Linked DNA regions of Caenorhabditis elegans. The protein of the gene in region 1 purifies or fractionates together with the protein of each later gene. This does not show direct contact. Each region holds a gene or a part of one and is shown in the gene's direction. Other genes may lie near its edges.

Region 1 (9,818 bases):
ACGATGAATCCAGAATATCCTGAATGGACAGCTTGCATGGAATGGCTTGAATTTACACATCCTGATGCAATTGCTAATATTGTTACAAAGTATTTCTTCCCGAGGGTAAGTTGATTATTCATGTTCGTTTTTAAATATTACATTTTTTTTTCAGTTCTACAACTGCCTCTGTCTTTGGCTAGATAGTCCTGGTGTCGATTACAATGAAGTGAAGCGTTGGTATGGATCCTGGAAGGCTCGAATTCCACAAGTTCTTGTTAATTATCCAACTGTAAATGGTAAGTTCAAATATCTCGTTTTTAGAATCAAAATGTTTTTTTTTCAGAAAATCTTCGTCGCTCAATGATCGCAATAGGGCGATCCCTTCAAGGAGAGAAAGTCGGCGGACTCCAAGCCACTCCGATTGCTCCAATGGCTCCACCACCACCAATGGCACCACACTTTACTCAAGCTGCACCTGTTCAGAAACTGTCATTAAAAGAAATTATCGAGTACACAGCTGGAAAGAATGGATTCACATATCATCCACAAAAAGATCGATACAAAGACGGACGACAAGTATTTTGGTTCGGTGCACTTTCGATTTATCTCGATTCGGAAATGGTTTATGTGATGGATCCAATCGAATTTGTATGGCGACCTTCAGGGCTCAATGAGCTTATTCAAATGGCTCAAGGTGCACAAGGATAATCATTTTTAACATATCATATGATCTTGTTTAAACTTACGATAAAAGTTATTTTAATTTATTATTGTTTTAATTTTAACCTTGTCTATTCATTCCGTTAGATAACGGTTCATTATTTTATACTTTCTGCTTTGTATTTGTATTTTATAAAATTTATTGAAATTAAAAAAAAAACTGTAATATAGTATACTCGTAAAATTTTTACATTAAAAATCATCGGTTAATTTTTCGCAATTTCATAAAATTCTAATATTCTAATTGAATTTTCTAACCGATTAGAAAATAATGATTGAAGTTAACCGAATTGGCGAATCGCTGAGATCTGTGGAATATGCTGATCATCAAAATCGATTAATTTTCCGCCGTCATTCGTCGTAAAATTATTATTAGAACTTGTCGGGGAGTAGGCATTCAGTTTTTCACTTCTTGTAGTTATTGGAGTTTCAATCGAGACAGCTACTCTTTCTGACGGGAGTTGGACAATTGAGCGCGTCGGCTGAAAATCTAGATGAGAAAATTTTGGAAGCTTTTAAATTAAAAAAATAAGTTTTTACTAAAAATACTAAAAATTGTAATCTTTTCTGAATCGTAGAAACTAAATTTATCTCAAAAATCGAGAATTCTACAAGAAAACATACATTTTTCGGGAATAAATACCATACGAATAGTCCAACCACTACTCCGAAAACATGTAGAGATATTGAGATAATTGTGTGCGTTGTGTAGGATAATGTGACGAACATGAAATCTGAAAATTAGCAATTTTTCACATTTTGTATCAGTTTCTCAACTATAAAACAAAAACATAAAAGTCAAAAGCGATGGAAAGACTGTGAGCGAGAGATGAAGCCGACGGAATGAAGCGTAAAAGCTGTGGCGCACCACGGCTGCGCGGAAAGATTTTTCTCGTTTTTCTGATGTTGCTGACGGGCGACAGCCAGCAGCTTCTCCTTCCATTATCCTACAAGTGTCCAATTCATCCCGCAGAATGGCTTTTGTACCTATCTCCCGTCCGTTCTGGCTTATCGTACCGGGGACATTTATTGCGAAATGTAGAGGATTGTGTATGTGGTTTAGGAGTGGAACATTGAAGTAGCTAGCGGGAATTGTGGGATTATTTTAATTTTTATGAGATTCTCAATAGTTTAACTATTTAATTTCATCAAAAAATATCCTATTTATGGAATTTAATTTATGTCGAAAAAATATAGAAAATCACTAGATTTATCTGAAAATAACATTTTTTTCAGCCGAAACTTTTGAGAAAATGCAGAAAATTACCTTAAACTAAATGTTATTTTCAGATAAATCTAGTGACTTAAAAAAAATTATTTTTGACACAAATAGGAAATTAAAAATGTTAGAAAAACATGGTGCATTATGTCATTTTGTAGAATTGCAGAAACTATTATGATATTTTGACATCGAATGGAAAAATGGCAGCTAATCTAGCGAGCGATGAGACCGGTTCTCTATAGATTTTCAAGTGACCTTTCGGAACGAAGAAGTTCCAATCAAGCTACATACTAGATTCCTAGATTCTATAGACTTAGAATAATTAAATCAAAAACCTATCATGGATGAGAATAAGAAATAATGAAATCCTGCCTTGAATTAATATGCAAATGAGATGACTATACAGTCAGAGAATTATTCCTTCTTTGTTACGCGCGTTTCATCCGAATCTTTTTCCTGACTATGAGAAAGTCTCTTCGTTGACCGTAGTCTCTAGAGGTCTTGTGACCCCGATTCGGTCGCTTAAACAAAACACAAAAATACAGTAGTGGATTGAAAGTTCGCGGCTTTTCAAAAAGTGTTTTTGATCTTTATGTATCATAAATCGTGAAAAAAACGACTAAAAACGACTGCCGCAGAAAAAAAAGTTCGAAATTACCGTACTCTTAAAAAGCGAATATATTTTTGTAAGTCTGTGGAGGGTACTGTATTTTTAGCGCAAAATTTTGCGAGTGTACAACTGAATTATCATTTCGATATTAGAAAATCATGTATTTCCACAACATCATAATTTCAGGATGAAGCTTCTCAAAAAACCCGCGGGACTCAAAAAAAGAAAAGTTATTTCAAAACGAATCAAGATTGAAAAGAAGCCAAGTTCTGAGGACGAGGGAAGTTCAGATGAGGAGGTACCAAAATTGGATGGAGAAGGAAGTTTAGATGGATCTGAAGATGAAGATGATGGAACTGTGACTGTTGAGAAAGGAGGTGTGAAGAAGCATAAGTTGGATTTGGAAAAGTGAGAAATTGTCTTCGAGCTGGTAATAAAAATATATATTTTTAGACTGAAACAATCCGATCCCGAGTTTTTCAAGTTCCTTCAACAGGAAGATGCCGATCTATTGAATATGGAAGATGATGGGGATGACGATGAAGATGACGATGAGGATGATGAAGATGAAGAGGAAGAGGAAAGTGATGATGATGAGGATGATGAGGAGGATGACGACAAGACAAAGATTAAGAAGATCCGAAAACCAAAGATTAAAAGTGACAATTCTGGACGTCTTATCGTGGATTCAAATGTTTACTCTTACCTTCAACAAGTTCTCGTTTTGGATGATGAGGTAATTTATATTATCGAGACGGAAAACTTTACTTACTTTGATACTTTGATGTCCGTTGGGTTCAAGTTGCGAGGCAACTGCGGACAAACTCGAAAAAATATATTTGTTTAGTTGAGAAAACAATTAAAAACGCATACATTTTTTTAAAAACGTAAATTTTGAAGTAAATGATTTTTTAAAAAATTTTAAAAACCTGATACTAAATGATTAGCAGACCCAAGCTGTGACTAAATATTGGTTTTTAGAAATTTTTCATCGATTTTTCGTATTTTAGTTGAAAATATATTCATTTATTCAACAAAAAAAAAACAATTAAAATCACATAATTAATAAGAAATCAGTAAAAAATACTATAAAAAATCAATGAAAATTACAGTAACTAGAGTTTGAAACTACAGTACTCTTTAAATGCGCACACGAGTTTGCATTTAACTAAAATTATGTCGTGTCGAGACCGGGTACCGTATACTTTTAGCATAAAACGAAATATTTCGCGTTTGGGAAATATGGTTGTACCAGAAAAAAACGTTATCGAAAAAAAAAGGTTTTTCGCCAAAAATCACGAAAGAAGCAAAAAAGGAAATTTTGAAGTTTGGAATGTTTTTTTTTTGAAAAAAGTGTGAAAATTAAAAATTTTGTGTTTTCAGTGAGCGACAGGCGGTTTTTTCTTTCGAAAAGTGAGAAAAAAACGTTTTTTTAAGCCAAAAACGTTGAAAAAGGCAAAAACGAAGCAAAATAGTCTAAGATTAAATATATTAAAAAAAAAAAATTCATTTAAAATAGGGCTGAATCCGAAAAAAAAATTTCTCGAAGTCGACGGAAGCGAAAAAAACGGAAATTTTGATGTTGCGACTGTTTTTTTTTGAATAATATCAAGTGCAACTTTTTTTTAAAGTGTAAAATATTTTTTGGCAAAAAAATTTTTTTTAAAAAGTGATAATGAAGCAAAATAGTCTATGGCCATCGTGCGAGAATCCTATTCGAATTCCAACAAAATGAAATATTATAGACCTCCACACCCACCAATCCATCGGATGTTCGTATGGCTGTCGATGTTTTTGTCGCTTGTGTTGCTCGAGTTGGTGCAGACATTGAAGCTCCAAAATATGTCATTAATGAGCAATCAATCTTCGAAGCTGTTGTTCGAATGTGCTTTCAAGCAATGCCTGATATTCTAAAAAGATTATTGAAAGCGAAACCTGAAGGAGATAAAGTTTTGTTCTCGAAGACTGCAATCAAGAAATATCAGACATATGTTAGAACATATCTTCATGCAATGATTGTTGTAAGTGGCTGAAAACATCTGAAATTCTAAATTTTTGATTTAAATTCAAATATTTTCAGTTTCTCAACGAAGTTCAAACCACTGAAGTTCTCATTGCCACAATTAAAGCCATGACTCGGCTTGTCGATCTCTATGCTCATTTCTCCAGAATGTCTAAACTTTTGATTAAGGTAAGTCATTACAAGAAAATCATACTTTTAATTGATTTATTTTCAGGCGGTCGTCAGAATTTGGAGTCGCAAAACTCTGGAATGCAGACTTCCAGCCTTCGTTTGCATGAATCTTCTTGTCAAAAACTATCCGCAACACTTCGTGCCACTTTACAAGGTAATTCAATTTATTTTTTGTAAAAAATTTAAAAATTGATCTAATTAATCTAAACATAATCTAATTCAAAAGTTCGATTTTAAACGCTAAATCATGGAAAATTTCCCGCACAAAAGAGTGTGCACCTTTAAGGAGTACTGTACTTCTCTGTGTCTAGTTTTTCAGAATGTTTAAAATTTCCTCTTAAATCTAAAAAAAACAACATTTGGACAACGAGAAAATAATCGTTCAATATTCGAATTTTGAAAAAATTAGAAATTTTAGAAGTAAGAACTACAGTAATCTTTGAAGACGATAGGAAAAAATTGCGCTGAGATGATGATCAAAAATTCAAATTTTCGATTTTTCCGGAACATCGAAAAAAACGTTTGAAAATTAAAAAGCTACTTCAACATTTTAATGAGAAAAAAAATTTTCCTCTGGAAACAAAACAAGATTGCCAAAGTTTCGAGCGTTTTTCGAAATAAAGAAAAACTATTTTTTGAAATCTTGAAAATTTTTTCTGCAATACTGGAAATAATTTTTTTCGTTTATTTTTTAAAGAAAAATGACAAAATTATTCGCAGTATAGCAACTGAGCTATTAAAATGTGAAAATAATGTGCAAAAAATGTGCTTTCCTTTAAAAAAAATTTTAATGAAAAGCCGCGAAAAAAAAATATTTTTTTAATTGAAAAAATTTAAAATTTTTCGGTTTTCGATTTTCCAAAAACAAATTTGAAAATCAGTTTGAGAAAATTTTCGATCGCGTCGAGACCAGGTACCGGGTTTTCGCAACTATACAAACTCACACAGACCGCCTATGTTGCATTTGTTGCAAACTCGAAAATCGTCACCAACGAAACGTGGCCACTTCTTCAATTCATGCACCGAACATTTGCCGAGCTGACAATTTTGAATCCAGAGCAAGCTTATAAGTATGCATTTGTCTATATTCGTCAAACAGCTGTTCATCTTAGAAATGCAATGATTTCAAAAGGACGAAAGGTGAGAAGAAACACAGAAAACACTGAATCCTGAGAGGGTTGAAACCAGGGATGTGTGGATAACCGATTTTTTCGGCTAACGGCTAATTCGGCTAATCTCAGTCATTCAAATCGGCTAATTTTCGGCTAATTCGGAATTTGGTTAAACTTTTTTTGTCCATTCTGTTAATTCAAGTTTTGGGTTACTTTTTTCACTGTTATTGAGCAAATTCAGGGATGAACGACTGTTCAAATAGGAAAAAATCATACAAATTCACCACATTTTGTTTTCCAAAAAAATATGTTAGTTGAATTAGCCGAAATAGCCGATTGGCGAATTCGGCTAACATCAAAATCGGCTACGTATTAGCCGAACTGCCAAAAAGTCGGCTAACGGCTAATTCGGCTAATATTAGCCGAGTTAGCCGAATTAGCCGATCGGCTAATTCGGCTAAATCGGCTATTATCCGCACACCCCTGGTTGAAACCGAAAAAAAAGTTTTCTCCAAAAAAAAACGAAAAAAAATTGTTTCATGTTATTTTGAAAAGATTTAATATTTTGGTCAAAATTGCACTCTTTTTATAATTTCGAGTGTTATCAATTTATCAATTTTTCGGTTCCATTTTTTTCAAAAAATATCGAAAAATAATAAAGTTTTTGCCAAAACCACACAAAAAACCAAAACAAAAAATCTACAGCCCAAAAAAGAAACATTTTTTAAGGATTTGATCTTCTCCATCTACAATTGGCAGATGATGCAGTGTATGTACATGTGGGTACGAGTTATTGCTAAAGCTCATTCTGTGAACGGCGCTGAACAAATTGGAGAACTTGTCTATCCTCTCATTCAAGTTATCGTTGGAATTTTCAAGCTTTGCAATGCTCCAACTTTCCTACCACTCCGTCTTCATTGTTGTCAACTGCTCATTCAACTTCAAGCCAGTTGCACCAATTATATTCCGATTTTGCAGGTTTCTTGCGACGTAAGTTTTATTATTTTTTAACAAATTCTCACGGAAAAATAATAATTCCAGTGTCTGGAAGAATTGGCTCGTGAGTTGAAGTCGAAGCCAAAACCAGTAAAAGGAGCAGTCAAACTTCCGGATATCGAGTGTACTCTGAAATGTTCATCACAATTCTCAGATCTTCCACAGTGGCGAAAAGTCATCTCAGAACATGTGTTCAGAACTATGATGCAGTCTGCACATCTTTTGGCTAGTCAAGCCGCATTTCCGGACGTCGTTTTGCCGATCAATCATAGAGTCAGTTCATATTACTTATTCGCAAAATTTTGAGATTTTCGCGCAAAAAATAGTCTCGGCACGACAAATTGTTTTAAATTGATTTTTTAGCAATTTTCGGATGTTTCTAGTTGAAAATTCATTGTTTTTTTTTCAGTTTCTACTCAAAACTCAATTTTTTTTTCCGAACAATAATTCATTTTTTGAATAAAATAAGTTAAAAAAAGAATTTCATTTCCATCGACGATTTTGCTAAATGTTAGGATGGAATTAAATAAGAAATTCCAAGTAAAAAAAAACAATTAAATAATATTTTCAGATTTCCGCAATCCTAGAAACAATGAAAAATGGAGATCACGCTCACTTGTTCCGCGGATTCCAAACAAAACTGAAAGAGCACTCAAGATTTGTGCTTGATGTTCTTGCTCGCAAGAGTGTCGATATTAATGATGAGATGCAAGTGGTTAGTCAAACAATTTATATATATTTTTCAATAAAAATAAAATGACTGCTTCAGCGTGCCGTCCGCTTTGATCTCAACAATCCTGACTCGCCGATCAAGACATTCTATCGGCAATGGGAGAAAGTATGGAAGATGAAGGAAAGAAGTGCTGTGGAGAACTCGGTTCGTTTTTATTGAAAAACTTTTCATAAACTAAACATTTTCAAAATATTAATTGCTTCAGAAGAAAGACGACAAAAAGAAAAAGAAGGAAGAAGAAGCTGCTGCTGCGAAAAAAAGAAAACCTAATGAAACTGTCGAGGACGAGGATGATGTCAAGCCAGAGGTTTCGAAGGCAAAGAGGAAGAGAATCAAGATTGGAGCAGCTGCCAAGAAAGCAGACGCCTCTGTTCCAGATCAATTTGCTGATATGTCAATGTGGAGTGATGAGGATTAACTGTTATCCTAATATTTTGTTTTTTTAAAAAGAATTTGGTTTTTTTATTTCTGTTGTTGTTACTTTATCATTTTTGTTGTTATTGAAATTGTTCGGGAATAATGTTTTATTTCATCAAACGTAGTTGGTTGGCCCACATCAGCTAAACTAAAGCTGAATGAAGAGAAAACAATCCATGTCACATTAGGGAAAAACCGAGAAATAACTTCAAGTACACTATTAACGGGAAGAATATTAGGAAAGATCTGGAATTTCTTGTGTCTCTAAATCTTAACTTTTCTGATCACTGGAAAAAAGCAATAAATGCATCTAACTAGCGAAGGGTCTGAAGGTGCCAGCGGCTTTTCGAACGAAACATGTTTCATTCGAAAGCCCATGTTCAGAAACGGTGAAATGTGAATTTTAGCTGCGAAATTTCAGATTTTAGCTCAGCTCAGCTATAGCTCACCTATAGCTGAGACATAGCTGAGCTATGAGCATAGATGAGCTATATTTTTCAAAGTTTGTAAAATCCATCTATTTTTGCCTATACATAGTAGTTTTCATTAATAATAAAATACGCACTAAAAGGTAGGGCTGAAAATGTACTATTTCTGTAACTACTTGAAGCTTCTTGTACCTACTGGAATATTGTTAATATAATCTGAAAGAGCTTAAAATTTACTACAAAGTTTCTGAAAGACATTTCGAAAACAGTTACTTTGAAGAGGTTTATGAATTTTCAAAGTTTGTAAAATCCATCTATTTTTGCCTATACATAGTAGTTTTCATTAATAATAAAATACGCACTAAAAGGTAGGGCTGAAAATGTACTATTTCTGTAACTACTTGAAGCTTCTTGTACCTACTGGAATATTGTTAATATAATCTGAAAGAGCTTAAAATTTACTACAAAGTTTCTGAAAGACATTTCGAAAACAGTTACTTTGAAGAGGTTTATGAATTTTCAAAGTTTGTAAAATCCATCTATTTTTGCCTATACATAGTAGTTTTCATTAATAATAAAATACGCACTAAAAGGTAGGGCTGAAAATGTACTATTTCTGTAACTACTTGAAGCTTCTTGTACCTACTGGAATATTGTTAATATAATCTGAAAGAGCTTAAAATTTACTACAAAGTTTCTGAAAGACATTTCGAAAAAAGTTACATTGAAGAGATTTATGAATTTTCAAAAATTGGAAAATCCATCTTTTTGCCTATAAATGGTAGTTTTCATAAAATAATAAAATACGCACTAAAAGGTAGGGCTGAAAATGTACTATTTCTGTAACTACTTGAAGCTTCTTGTACCTACTGGAATATTGTTAATATAATCTGAAAGAGCTTAAAATTTACTACAAAGTTTCTGAAAGACATTTCGAAAAAAGTTACATTGAAGAGATTTATGAATTTTCAAAAATTGGAAAATCCATCTTTTTGCCTATAAATGGTAGTTTTCATAAAATAAAAAAATACGCACTAAAAGGTAGGGCTGAAAATATACTATTTCTGTAACTACTTGAAGCTTCTTGTACCTACTGGAATATTGTTAATATAATCTGAAAGAGCTTAAAATTTACTACAAAGTTTCTGAAAGACATTTCGAAAACAGTTACTTTGAAGAGGTTTATGAATTTTCAAAGTTTGTAAAATCCATCTATTTTTGCCTATACATAGTAGTTTTCATTAATAATAAAATACGCACTAAAAGGTAGGGCTGAAAATGTACTATTTCTGTAACTACTTGAAGCTTCTTGTACCTACTGGAATATTGTTAATATAATCTGAAAGAGCTTAAAATTTACTACAAAGTTTCTGAAAGACATTTCGAAAAAAGTTACATTGAAGA
Region 2 (5,258 bases), on another chromosome or scaffold:
ACTCAAATAACGATAAATATCTCAATTCAGACTTTTATATATTGAAAAGAAAAATGAATAAAAATACGATGACAGGAAAATAAGGGGTACAATGAAAGTATTGGGGTATAAATGAATAAATTACAGAAAAAAATGTAGAAAAACGAATCGATTTACAAAATTCCAAGTTCTTTCTTTTGCTTTCTCTTTTGCTTGATAACATCAATATTACGCTCCTTCCATGCCGATTTTCTCAATTTAATCGGTCGATTTCCAACATATTTTCCGTCCATTTCACGCATAGCTCTCACATAATCCTCCGAATCTCTGAATGAAACGAATCCATATCCTTTACTCTTATTTGTTCGTGATTCTCTGACAACTTTGGCTTTTTGGAAACTTGGGTATTTTCGAAAAGCCTTTGCAAGAAGTTCATCCGACACTTCATTTCCCAGATCTCCACAGAAAACTCGAAAATCATTTTCATCCCATTCGGCAAGAGATGGATCTTCCCAAACCTGACCACCACCGGATCTCACAAACTTCTTTTTCGCTTGTTGTTCCTTGATTTTCTTCTTAAATGGATCGGTTTGCTTTTTGAAATTCATCTTATCAATATCTGATTGAAGAGCTTGAGTTCGCAGAAGTTCTTGTGGAATTGCGTTTACTGCAGGTGTTTCATATAATGCTGGAGCACCTTCAATAGTTGCAGGAGCCGGAATTCCGAGTACTCGAGGAGGGAACATTATCTGTAAATTTAATATTCAATTGAGAGTAATATTCACATAACTTCAATTTTTAACTTTTCTCTCAAAAATTTATGGCTTTATTCATAAAATAAGGATATTTTTTAAGTCAACGGAAAATCAAAACTAACCGGTGCAGCTCTTAATTGTGGAGGCATGAAAATTGAAGGTGGAACTGGAGGCATTGTTGGAAGCCTCCCAAGTGCCGGGTTGATAAATGGAGAAACTGCAATTGTGGCAGCTATCGGAATAAACGGAGGCGCTGCCAAAAGTGATGGTTGAATAACTTGAGCACTAGAAGTAGCTGCTGATGACTCGGAAGTAGTTGGTCCTGCCGAAATTGTTGCATTATCGTAGCCAACATGCGTTTGAGAGCTTGCTGGCTCCTCCGAATTGCTACTCGCTTGTTCAAGTTCGGCTAACTCGCTTTCAAATCTAAAATAATATAATTTGTTTGATAATAAATATAGGAAGAATCAACTTACAAAGCCAGTTCATCATCCAAGTTGGCCATTGTTGAAGGGTGAGCGTTTCAGGCTGAAAATAAGTCTAAATATAGTCAGAAAGTACAGAAACTTTGCGACAGATAAATCAAAAAATATTAATATTTAATATTATTATCTTTAACACATAAATGAATACAAATAAAAGGAAAATAGCTTTTGTTTCGAAAAACATTAAAAAATTGATAAAAATATTAAGAGTACGCAAACACCGCATGAAATAAGCCAGAGACGACGCACTTTTGCGTACTCTAAAATTTTTTCTGTTTTCCTATTTATTTTTTTTATCCTCCCAATTTTCACGCTTTACTAGTAGTTTTGTGCTCATAATTGTTTTAAAATTTAAGAAAACACCCTCTGAAGTTCCAAATATTACCTCATCCGCTTTTTCTAACATTTCTTAAGAGATATATTCTGTATCTGCAGAAAATGTCCGGTGAAAATGACGTTGAAATGCATGATGAGGATCCAGTGGAGGATATAGACGAGTCTGAAGAGGAAGTTGATGAAACTGATGATGAAGACGAGGAAGTACCGGAGAATCAGAGACAAGTGAGCTAGAAATTTCGTACAATACTTCTAATTGTTAAAATTGCAGGCTTACATTCCAGGCCTCAGCCGGCCATTGAAAAAAGGAGAAGAATTGGATTTTGACCCTAGTGCTTACAAACTATTTCATAGTTTCAATTCTGGTGATTCAAACGAAATTGTTTCTAAAATATTTATATTTTATGATTTAGATTGGCCATGCTTGTCGTTTGACGTTGTTAAAGATGGTTTGGGCGAGAACAGAACACAATTCCCTGCCGAATGTTATATTGTCAGTGGAACTCAAGCCGATAAGCCAAGGGATAACGAAATCATTGTGATGGGATTGAAGAATCTTACAACGATGAGGGTTAGTCGGTTTCAAACTTTTTTATTATTTACCTGTTATGAAATTGAAATTCCGGCCAACGTTTAGTTTTAAGCTCAGTAACACAATTGTTAAACTAAAAAAAACAAGGATATCTCTACAATAAAAGTGAGTATTTCAGAAAGAAAAAGAAAACAAAGGCGACGACAGTGACACCTCTGAAGACGAATCCGAAGATGAAGATGCCGAAGAAGAGAAGAAAAGAGAACCAAAAATGCACGCTGTTTCGATTCCTCACTATGGTGGTATTAACCGAATTCGTTCCGATCGTCTTGGTGACAGTACTGTATGTGCTTGCTGGAGTGATCAAGGACGTGTCCAGGTGTGGAATATCACTGATGCATTGAATTATACTCATGGAATGAGCGGAGAGTCGAAGACTGAAGTGCAAAAGATCGATCGACCCTTGTTCACGAATAATGGATCTGGAAAAGAAGGATATGGACTTGCTTGGTCTTCATTAAAAACTGGAGACTTGGCTACTGGTGATATCATCAAAAAGATTTATTTGTGGCAAATGAAGGAAGGAGGACAATGGGCTGTTGGAGCTAATCCATTAACTGGACATAAAAGTAATTTATTTAATTTTGATCTGAAAATTCCAAAAATTGAAATGTGTCTCCTGAATGGCGTTTGAGTGGTTTTTTCTTGAATAGATTGGAAAAAAACAAAAATCTGAATTAAAAACTTGTCTTTGTCGCATAAAAATTTTTGAGCATTTTTCAGTACATATTCCAATATTTTTCAGAGAGTGTCGAAGATCTTGCATGGTCACCAACTGAAACTGGACTTCTTGCTTCATGTTCCGCGGATGGAAGTATCAAACTATGGGATACACGTTCTGCTCCAAAAGATGCCTGCGTCTGTACAGTGCAAAAAGCTCATGAATCCGATGTTAATGTTATTTCGTGGAATCGTCACGAAAACCTCATTGTTTCTGGTGGTGATGACGGAGAGCTGAAAATTTGGTCTTTGAAAACAATCCAATTCGGTCAACCAGTGGCACTCTTCAAGTATCACAATTCACCAATCACTTCAGTCGACTGGCATCCACATGAAACAACGACATTTATGGCTTCCGGTGAAGACGATCAGACAACAATTTGGGATATTGCAACTGAAGCAGATGGACAAACGAATATCGAAGGAGTTCCACCACAGCTGATGTTCGTCCATATGGGTCAGAATGAGGTCAAAGAAGTTCACTGGCATCAACAGATTCCTGGATTGGCTATCAACACTTCAATTGATGGATTTAATGTCTTCAAGACTATTAATATTTAAGATGTCTCCCTGTTATTGCTCCCTGTTTGTTTTTGTTGCTGTTTTTCTCATCTATTCAACATTGTTACTGTTCATTTTTTTTCGTAACTTTTCTGTTAACCAAAAAATGCTTTAAAAATGTCGCGTTTTCGTTGAAAAACAAAAAAAAACATTTTATTCTATAGAATCTAAAAAATTAGGGACTGGGAATGTATCACAAAATATAACAAGAAAATTCACCATTTCAAGACTTGAGCAACATTCGTCTCAACGGGCCTATAGTCCGTAAACAGAAGATTACGGTAGTTTTTATCAAGTTTCTCCCATTCCTCTCGAACTTTTATCCAGGTTTCTTCATCATCTTGTCTGGGTAAATCTTCATATAATGCCTCGACTTTAATCAATTTCTCTTCTCTCTCATCCATTGTCTCGTACCGAATCTGACCTCCACCATTTGCACATCCACCCGGACAAGCCATAATTTCCACGTAATCTGTCTTCTCCTTTTTCGTCTTCATTTTTCGAACCAGATTCTGCACATTTCGAAACCCGTAAACCTTGGCAACTCTTAAAAGAATTTCTCCAGCTTCGGATTCTACAGTCGTGGAGAACATGTTCTTGTTTCTGAAAAAATGAAATATTACATTATTTAAAGTTATTTATTCCTACAGTTTTGATGTTTTTACAATTCCTCCTCCATTTTCCAGCACGAAATCTCGAACAATTCGATCAGCATATCCTCCAGAAGCACCACCATCGTCACCAATAACAGATCCTGAAACATTTCAGTATTGTGTTTTAAGGGAGGCATCTTTTTTTATTTTGTTTCGTTTCTAAAGATTACTGTAGAAAATTTACGATATGTTTTTCAGCTCCTGCTCTGTTCAGTTTCATGTTGTATTTCTCGTAAAATAAATGTTTTCCACAAGTTGGAAAATATGGTTTTGTCGCCAATACCTACCGAGACCCATGGTTGGGAGGCGGAGGCATTGTAGCGCGATTTTAAAAGAACCAACGCCTCGAAAATTTTCAAAAACGGCGAGAGAAAAATATTTGAATTCCCCAAGAGGAATTTCACCACAGCGCGTGCAAAAATGTCTGCATTTGCGCGTGACGGTGTTTGCACAAATTACACCGAATGGTCGAGCTGAAAACACGTGTCCTACAACACGTGAAGAGAAATAAAAAAATCTACACGTAGAAAAGGAGTATTCAAAAGTTTAAAATTTATTCCTCAAGAATAAGAGCTTGAATTCAGTCACTCAAGAAATTGATTGTGTAACTGATCAAGCCTGATTTTTTTTGGGATGTAAGTTTTATTAATTTCTGAGAATTTGACTGAAATTATTTTCAATTTCAGAATATTATTGGCGCAGACTGTTTCTGTTGGGTGCAAAGCGAAGGCTACAAAACCAAAAGCAGCTGCTCCGAAACCGGTAAGTATAAATAAGATTTTATAAGCTGAAGATGTTCTAAAATTGAAATCATTTCAGATAAGCTCAAATCGACAATCTCGAAAGTTGTCCCACCAGCTCGTCCACCATCACGACCAGAAGATTATGAGATCAACTGGGGACCTAAATGCTGTTAATTTTGAATAAAATCGGTTAAAATACAAGTCGTTGTTTTTTTGTCTTTCAGCTCTCAAATCCGCCGCAGCTTCTTTGTTTTTCTCGAATTTTCAAGTGAAAAAGAGGTTTTTATGTCTACAGTGGCGTGCTAAATTCTGTAGAAAAATTCCAGATTTTTGGTAACTTTTGGTATTCTCTACATAAAGTTTTTTTCACTAAAAAATTTGAGGAAACCAAAGGATTTGCGTCGAAATTGGAGAATTTGAGCCTGACTTTAAAG
Region 3 (8,121 bases), 1.6 Mb from region 1:
ACCGTCAGCATTCCATCGAGTACTCGTCCTGCAATAAACGATCGGTCAGAAATATCAAACATATCAATGGCGTCATTAACTAGCTTTATCTCGTATAAAAGGTGATAAGGATATAAGGAAATCTAGTTGTTTTAGCTAGACGATGACACGCATTCTCGTTCTAATTTTTTTCTTTTTAAAATGCGTTTCATTGCAAACATTACTTCCTTTATTGTATGCTAACGCTGGCATGTTCAACCCATATAATCAGTATAAAACAACAACTATGGCACCATCAATGTATCACCAACATTATCAGTGGGTATCATTAAAATTTGCGATTTTCTTTTTAAAACACTGCTTTCAGGGGATTGGGATGGAGAACTAATGACGTTGGAGACATTTATCACAATCACAATCCGTATTCTTCTTTCTTTGTACTACAGAAATCAACTTATCCGTGAATTTGAAATAAAAAAAAATTACCAAAAACTACATGTTTGTTGTCAAGGAAATCGGTTTTTGCGCAAGTGATAAAAAACTGACAACCATTTGTGTCAGAGCCAGCGTTAGCCATCGAAAGCATTCCTGGTCCTATGTGCTTCAGCTCGAAATTCTCGTCACGGAACTTTGAACCATAGATGCTCATCAAACCGGTTCCATCGCCCTGAAAAAATGATATAACTTTAAAATTTAAAATTGTTAAACTTACGTTGCAGAAGTCGCCACCCTGAATCATAAAGTCCTTGATCACACGATGAAATGTGCAGTTTTTGTATCCGTTTGGGACACCATCTTTTTTGTATTCTCCTGTACAGAACTGACGAAAGTTTTCAGCAGTTCTCGGTGTTACATCAGCAAATAACTCGATCTGAAAAATTATGAAATATATAGCAAATTAAAACTGGAATGGTCGTCAACTTACAACAATAGTTCCGATTGGTGCACCACCGGCGGTAACTTCTAGAAAAACGATTGGGTTATCCGGATGACGGAGCTGCTCGGCAAACTTGTCGTATTCAGTCATTCTGAAAAAGAAAACATATAAATGAGTTAGTTTTTAAAACCAGAAAAACGTTTTCTGTAAGTATTCGAAATAAGTATTTTCGAAATGTGTCAGGTTTTTCCGAGAATAATGGGATCAACTGAACTAATCGTTCATAAGTTTTATAACCAAGAAATACAAATTCGTCAATAAAATTCGACATATTCAAGAAAAAAGTGATATTCGTTCTATTCAAAACAAAAAAAGGTGAGCATTAAATGGGTGTATAGAACAATAATAAAGTGCGCGGGTAGTTTGCAATCAGAAACCCCGCCCACAAAGCCCTGCCGCTAATAATTTTCCCCCGTCTTTTCTCAAATTCAACTCGAAAATTCAATTTTTGAATAATTTATCTTGTAAAAGTTCGTTCTATTCATTTAAAAATTAATTTATCGAAGTTTATCACACGATTAAAGCATAATTAACTTTATTAGAGTTATTCATTGATTTGAAAATCAGAATTTGGTTTATTTTCGGTCGGTGCAATCCGTTTCTCTGTTGAAAATGCTATAAATTGCTAATTTTTGGATTTCAGATACTAGAACTATGTCATCAAGGAAGGGGAAAGCGTAAGTTGAATGTTTTTCACAATTTATAAATAATCATTAAATATATTTTCAGATCTGCTCATATCTCATACGAAGACGAAAATGATGATCTCATTGATGAAATCAATACTTTTCATAACAAAGACAGAAAAGTCGAAAAGGGTGCTATTCACAAAAGAAAAACATTCAATCGTCCAGAAGAGGTGTTAAACGTTGAAGCAGAAGCATCGGATAGCAGTGAAGACGATGGATCCGACTTTGATGATGACGATGTTAATGGTAGTTTTCTTTCTGAATTACCTGATTAACGTAATTTATTTAAGATATCACGGACAACAAATGGGGTAAAAAGAGGAAAGATTTCTATGGAACTGGATTCGTGGATAAAGATTGGGGCGGAATGCGTGAAGAAGAAATGGAAGATGCTCAACTCGAAGAGGAAGATGCGTTGACTCGTCAAAAACAAATCGACAAATCGACAGCTGCCATTGCTGATTTATTTGACGACGACGATGAAGATGAGGAAGAAAAAGAAGAAACTGTCGAGGTAAACGAATTGAAAGAATAATTAAAATAATGAAAAGTTTTAGGTGGAAACAGTTTTAGAATTCAATGAGGAGAATGCAAGGACAAAGAACAAAAAAATCGTGAAAACTCTGGAACAATTTGAAGCAAGAGTAAGTTCTAATTTTTTAAAATGTCTCTTCACTTTTTTCCCGGTATCAGTTGCAGCTTCTTCCTCTTGTGATAATTTCCTATTTCTTCCTAATGCCAATTCTCGAAAGTTTATTAAATTTTGAAGCTATCACTTGTGAACATCAAATGCTGATTCGTATCGTTTCCAAGGTTAATTTTTCGTGTTCTCTCTTTTTCAGTATCTTCCCGTTTTCACTTCATCTGTTCTCTTCATTCTTTCAACTAAACACCACCGATGGCTAGTAGATAAGCGGTCTCAAATCGCGCAATCGTCTCTGATTACGTCAAAAACGGGTTGCCATCATAGCCTAAGGATGCTGGACGATTCGCTTTAAACGATGATTCTCAACGGACAAAACACACAATTGAAACGATTTAAATCATCCAACATCAGACGCCGTTATGTGTGAACATTAAAAAGCGAAAGCAAAGTGCCCTTCTGGTGTCTGAAGAATTCGATGCCTGAACTGCTCGAGTTAGTTTCGTATGTTCTCATCCTCAAACATCACATTCTAATTATTCTCATAACTTGTCTTGTTTTCCTCGTTTCTGTTCACCTGGTCGGTTTGTAATTCACACCAAACGATGTTGGACATATATCGGCAGCGACCGCCAGCTTTTTCTGTTTTTCAATTATATATTGCTACTTTCAATTCTAATTAGCGGCTAAGAATTGTTATACAGCTGTTTCCGGAGAGCTCGTGACCAGTTTCCTTTTCACCTGATAACATTTTCTCTTGTTGTTATCTTTCTCTTCTTCCTTTTCACTTGTTTCTTTTCATCACCATTCTAACAGTTCAATTTTCCCCTTTTTTCGGTTTAATTTTAATTTTTTATACTTTTCAGAAACGCATCTTCGATCTCGTCGTGAAGCCTCTTGAAAATGTAATCAAGCAGATTCCAAAATGCGCATTGCGATCGCAGTTAGTCTACGTTGCCCAGACATATGCATCGTATGTTTTCTTTTCCTAAATTTCCATTTTTATGATTTATCTTTCAGATACCTCATGAACACAGCATTCCTGTTGAATCTCAGAGCCAAACAGTTTTCCAATGAAAAACTCGACGATCCACTTGTTGACATCCATCCTGTAGTGGAGTCGCTGAAACGACTTGAAAAGGTATTCCGATTGATTTAAATTTCAAATACAAACTTTTAAATTCAGAAAATCACCGAGTGTGAAGATTTTTTGCATTCGAATTCGGATCATCTGGATGAGCTCAAGAAATGGGCGGAGTCGGAGCCAGAAAATATGGAAGAATTGATTTCGAAGGTTGGAGATGTTCAACTTACAAAGAAGAATTTTGGAGCAATTATGAACAATGTAAGTTTAGGGAAAACATTATTCGAATTTAAATACATTTTTTGTTTGCCGTATATTTTAAAGATTTTTAAAGTTTGTAAAATTTAAAAAAATTGTACATTCTTTTGTCAATAAAAATCAGGAAACATAGCTGAATTGGATTAAGATCTGGATTTACTTTTTTCAGAATCTTTCAACAATCACATCTTCTGATAACACATCAATTCATCCACACTTCACACCAATGGATGCAGATGAAAAAAGAAAGGCCTCTGACAAAGTTGCCAAAAACCGTGAATACGCAGAACGACGTGGGAAAAAGAAGGCCAAGACCAGCAAGGTAACTTTATTTTCGATTTTTTATCTTATTTTTAATACCAAAAATATTTGTATCATAAACAATTAGTGTATGAAAAATAATTCGATGAGTAGGGTCGACATTTCTTGTGCATGAAAATGTTGTTACAATGCTTTCACGAATACATGAATATATTTGAAAAATAACAATTCTTGTTTGACAAAAAAGTCTCACAAAGCCGAGTTTCATGTGAGATCAAAATATGAATACACTACATAACTCTCTATTTTTTGCTCCAACCCAAAAATCCAATACGTCGAGACGGCGTCTATGCTCCCCACCACAGCGAGTAATTGGCTGCCGAAATCTCAACTTGCTTATTTGGTTTCTATTTTTTTAAGATTCTTTTTCGAGAGTTGTGATAAGAAAATAATTAATTCAGTATCACACCTGCTTGCTACTGAATTCAAAAAAAGTTTTTTAAAAAGCGTAGTGTAATGAATTATCTGAAGCATATTTTAACTCAAAAAGAAAACCGAGCACAAATGAAGCATATAACCATGACTTATTCAGACAGATAAGTAATACGATTTTGTTTAATCTTAATTTTTCTTGAAAGAAATAAAATAGACTCACTGTGACATAGACAATTCAACGTCTAGGCGACGACACTTGAGAGTTTCATCCTTGGTTACGTATACTATGCTCATTTTTACTGCAACTCCCAATTAGCTGCGTTGTGTGTTTTTTTTTTTGAAGTCTCCCAGTTCAATAATTTCTAATTTCAGACTAAAAATCGTCGCAAGGTCCACGCCATCGAGAAGCGCGTCAAGTCTCAGATTGGAAACGTTCGTCGCGAAATGCAGAAATATTCTGGAGAAACGAGCGGAATTCGTGCATCTACAATCAAGTCGACTAAGCTTATCGCTTAAAAAAAGTGAGTTGAATGTAATGCAGACATCTCATTCTGATATCGTGCCATGTCATATTTATCACGCGACATACTCTTCACTCTCCACTGCGCAAATGAGCTTCACTCTTTTACACATGAAAATAATTAGCATATGAAACCGAAAACAATGTGAATATTAACTTTCAACATAAATATCCTATCAACATATAAAAACAATGAAAAACCTGAATTTACTTATCATATGGTACGTATGTTTAACCTTTTCCTATTCCTCTCGTTTGCCCTTTTAGTCGGTTGAATGTGTTTTTGTGTGCCCGGTCACTTTGGGGCTATATTCATCAAAAGAGGATAGCCTTCTTCTTATTCTTCCTCCATCGGTCATTTCGCTCCTCTCTTTTCGACCCCGGCAATATGTGCGCGAGGTCTGGCACCACCGTGTGTGTGTGTGTGAGAGCGAGTATCCTATTTTTTATTCGTGTCCCCCGTCCCCATGAACGACTGGAGCCCTAGCCACCTGCTACTTTCCATTTTAGTTCAGCTGACCTCGTATTGTCTACGAGCTGTTCATAATTTCATAAGAGCAATAAAGTGTACTATAAAACTGTGATTTCAGACTGTTTCTCTATTTTTGAATCTTTTTAAATACAACAAATTCGAAAAGGTGTTGACTAGTCTGTCTGAATGAATATTTTAATTTGAGATTTGAGTCTGATGTGTGTTACACATTGATGAGAATTTAAAGTAATTGTGACGTGTCATTCTCGAAAACCAAGCCTCTTCGGATTTGTTCAATAATTCGTATAGCTCGTTTCATGTCAGAAAGGCGAATACCCGTAACTAAATTACTTTTTCCTAGAATGCTAAAGAAAATAACTGATCTATTTCAATCAAGTTTAGGCTAAAATTTAATAATTGATGGCGTTCACATATGTGTGTGTGCCTGCGTGTGTTTGCGTGTTCGATGATAAGCTTTCTTCTGATTGTCTTCCTATGATTCATCAATTCTATTGCCTCCAGCCTCTTCTTCTTTCATACAATTTTTCACTGAAAGTTTCATAGCTCTCGGAAAATGCCTACGACGAAAATTGTAGTCACATATCACATATTGATAAGCAGACGTTTTTCATATTTCTCTATTTCTATTCAATGATATAAAGTGGTCTGCAGCATGTTTGATTATTAATTTTTTTTTTTCTAAATTGAATTATCTTGGCTTTGAACTGATTAAAAAATGCATTTTCTATTTTCTTTACAATCGATCGTTTTGTTATAGTCCTCGTGTGAATTCTAAAAATGTTCGTTCATCAGAAATTATAGATGACCTTTGTTTATTTTGTGTCTTCTATGAAAAAAAAAAGAGCCTATCATCCAAAACTTCTGATATCAACGGTTGAAAATTAATTTTTATCAATTTTCTCAACATTGCATTACCTTTTCAACCAATTTAATTTTCAGGTGTCATCAATTTCTCCGTTGCCACTGCATTCAGCTGGACTTTCCTGGTTTTTTTGATCGTTAATATCTTGTTTTCTTTGATTTATTCATTTTTCATTTATCCTGTTAACCTTCGTTGTTGATTTTTTTTGTTCCTAAAATCGCCCTTTCTACCAAAATGAAGTTGAGTTTTCAATTTTATTGAAAATAATTATTTTATTGCCTTATATCGGTTTGAAACCCGACGAATATCTTTCTTCTATTATCTTATTATTGTCATTTCCCATATTCACATTACTTCTTCATTATTATCTTCATACATTGTTATCACATGGCTCCTCATTGATTATGATAGATTCATTTCCCCTCTGGAGATTTGATTGTCTTGGCAACAGTCATTCTCCCCACCAACACATATCAGCTCGCAGCTCCGCCTCATTCTACATTTTCTCATTTTACATTCCATTCAGTCGGCTCAGTGTCTTTCGTTTCCCCAAAAAGCTCGCTTAGATATAAACCTATAATTATCAGAGTGTTGAAGCAAACATCTCCGATGCTCGGTGAGCTGCAGTGACTAACTGAGACAAGCACTGGTTTTCAGCTTAGAAATTCACCTGTTTCTGTGGCATTTTCGCAATATTATATTTCCTGAATTTCTTAGAATCAGAGTGTCACTGTAATTTCAGCTGCTCGTTACCGAGGCTTCACGTAATGGGCGGACGAGTACTGTTCCCCAATGCTCCCCCAATCTTTGCACTTTTTTATCTGCTCATGTTATTTTTTCTTATAAGACTGGCAGACGGTCCTTTGTGCATCCGTCGAGCTCACATTTTTCTCTTTATCACAGCTTGCATAACCATCGCTCTCACTTTCCTTCTCCCTCACCGATTTTCCAATTTTCTTCTCTTTTTTTCTCTTATTCTTTCCGCTTTAAACCTCAAATCAAATTGATTTAAACGTAATTTCATTAATATTATTTCAGCATTGCACTCGATAGTCGAATGATGTCGAAGATTTTAGGAGATGGACATGTTCGGAAAACCGGTAGATCTTGTGTGATTTTGGAAAAACAACATAATCGTCTAGTTGACTTACCTGATAGTGCTTTACGGTTGAATTATGAAAAGAAATATTATGAACCAGAGGTAAGTTCTTCGAATCGTGGCTTCAAAGAACTTTAGAAAATAACTTACAGAATGGTGATCATTTAATATTTTCTGCTCAACTTCAAAATGGTCGTTATAGTGCATTGACAGCAATTAAACCAACTGATCTTTTACAAGTTTATGGAAGTCTTTCTTATTTGGATGAACAATTAAAATTTGGGCATGTTTCAATTCATGGAAGAACTGCGAAAGTTTTTGTTCCTTTTTCAACAAGAACGACGAATGGAGCGTGTTGGTACGGACAAGGAGCATATATCGACAAACCTTATCTCATATACATTTTCCGTCAAGAAGAAGCTCACGGCTGCAAGTTTGTAGCATGGGCTATTTATGATGATACTAGAAAGACGACAAGCGTACCACCTACTCCTACGGACATTCAAAATACCTCACATATGAAGAAATTGGGGCCTCCAACCGCCGTTCAACGACAATCGGATCATCAATCAGTTGAATTTGTTCAAGCTCAATCGGGTGTTATCTATGATATCTCTGACAATTACGTGATATCTGTGACTTCTCCCACTTGCCAAAATGTTGAATTTGCACCTACGTTGTATGAAAGTTGGATGAGACCAGGTCGTTTTATAACCTTTGATGGGCGTCGTGTTTCCGATGTCAAGACGTCTAAGCTGATGGGAAGTAATCCTGAAGATATGGGCTCGGTAATTTAAACTAGAGTAAAATTAATACTAATTTGTTTTTTTTGCAGATCTATCCAATTAGAAAGTTGACTCC

What was found.
Region 2: the proteins of pro-2 (region 1) and grwd-1 fractionate together in Caenorhabditis elegans (co-fractionation; one large-scale study listed by BioGRID). This does not show direct contact.
Region 3: the proteins of pro-2 (region 1) and T01B7.5 fractionate together in Caenorhabditis elegans (co-fractionation; one large-scale study listed by BioGRID). This does not show direct contact.

What each region holds. Positions count from the first base shown.
Region 1 is NC_003280.10:10,338,015-10,347,832, reverse strand, and holds pro-2 (Nucleolar complex protein 2 homolog), read left to right. Parts: upstream 1-2,720; 5' UTR 2,721-2,721; coding exon 2,722-2,942; intron 2,943-2,987; coding exon 2,988-3,270; intron 3,271-4,279; coding exon 4,280-4,555; intron 4,556-4,614; coding exon 4,615-4,725; intron 4,726-4,771; coding exon 4,772-4,882; intron 4,883-5,676; coding exon 5,677-5,868; intron 5,869-6,569; coding exon 6,570-6,830; intron 6,831-6,881; coding exon 6,882-7,109; intron 7,110-7,407; coding exon 7,408-7,551; intron 7,552-7,605; coding exon 7,606-7,713; intron 7,714-7,774; coding exon 7,775-7,987; 3' UTR 7,988-8,092; downstream 8,093-9,818. Other genes in the region: stip-1 (Septin and tuftelin-interacting protein 1 homolog), read left to right, coding at 1-105, 155-278, 326-690; C07E3.10 (uncharacterized protein), read right to left, coding at 984-1,184, 1,327-1,431. UniProt on the Caenorhabditis elegans protein: Required for normal somatic gonad development and for regulation of germline development and proliferation.
Region 2 is NC_003281.10:5,151,889-5,157,146, forward strand, and holds grwd-1 (Glutamate-rich WD repeat-containing protein 1), read left to right. Parts: upstream 1-1,575; 5' UTR 1,576-1,657; coding exon 1,658-1,780; intron 1,781-1,826; coding exon 1,827-1,920; intron 1,921-1,968; coding exon 1,969-2,126; intron 2,127-2,265; coding exon 2,266-2,716; intron 2,717-2,892; coding exon 2,893-3,428; 3' UTR 3,429-3,548; downstream 3,549-5,258. Other genes in the region: rbm-42 (RNA-binding protein 42), read right to left, coding at 153-728, 857-1,160, 1,211-1,239; putative cytosolic Fe-S cluster assembly factor oxy-4, read right to left, coding at 3,644-4,031, 4,077-4,182.
Region 3 is NC_003280.10:8,715,275-8,723,395, forward strand, and holds T01B7.5 (Sas10 C-terminal domain-containing protein), read left to right. Parts: upstream 1-1,559; 5' UTR 1,560-1,570; coding exon 1,571-1,593; intron 1,594-1,645; coding exon 1,646-1,851; intron 1,852-1,895; coding exon 1,896-2,119; exon of another isoform or gene 2,120-2,162; coding exon 2,163-2,249; intron 2,250-3,114; coding exon 3,115-3,221; intron 3,222-3,268; coding exon 3,269-3,389; intron 3,390-3,434; coding exon 3,435-3,593; intron 3,594-3,759; coding exon 3,760-3,912; intron 3,913-4,658; coding exon 4,659-4,802; 3' UTR 4,803-4,807; intron 4,808-6,238; 3' UTR 6,239-6,411; downstream 6,412-8,121. Other genes in the region: cyn-11 (Peptidyl-prolyl cis-trans isomerase 11), read right to left, coding at 1-28, 466-646, 692-850, 905-1,006; T01B7.13 (uncharacterized protein), read left to right, coding at 143-297, 347-443; trcs-2 (TRansport of membrane to Cell Surface), read left to right, coding at 7,222-7,362, 7,413-8,048, 8,096-8,121.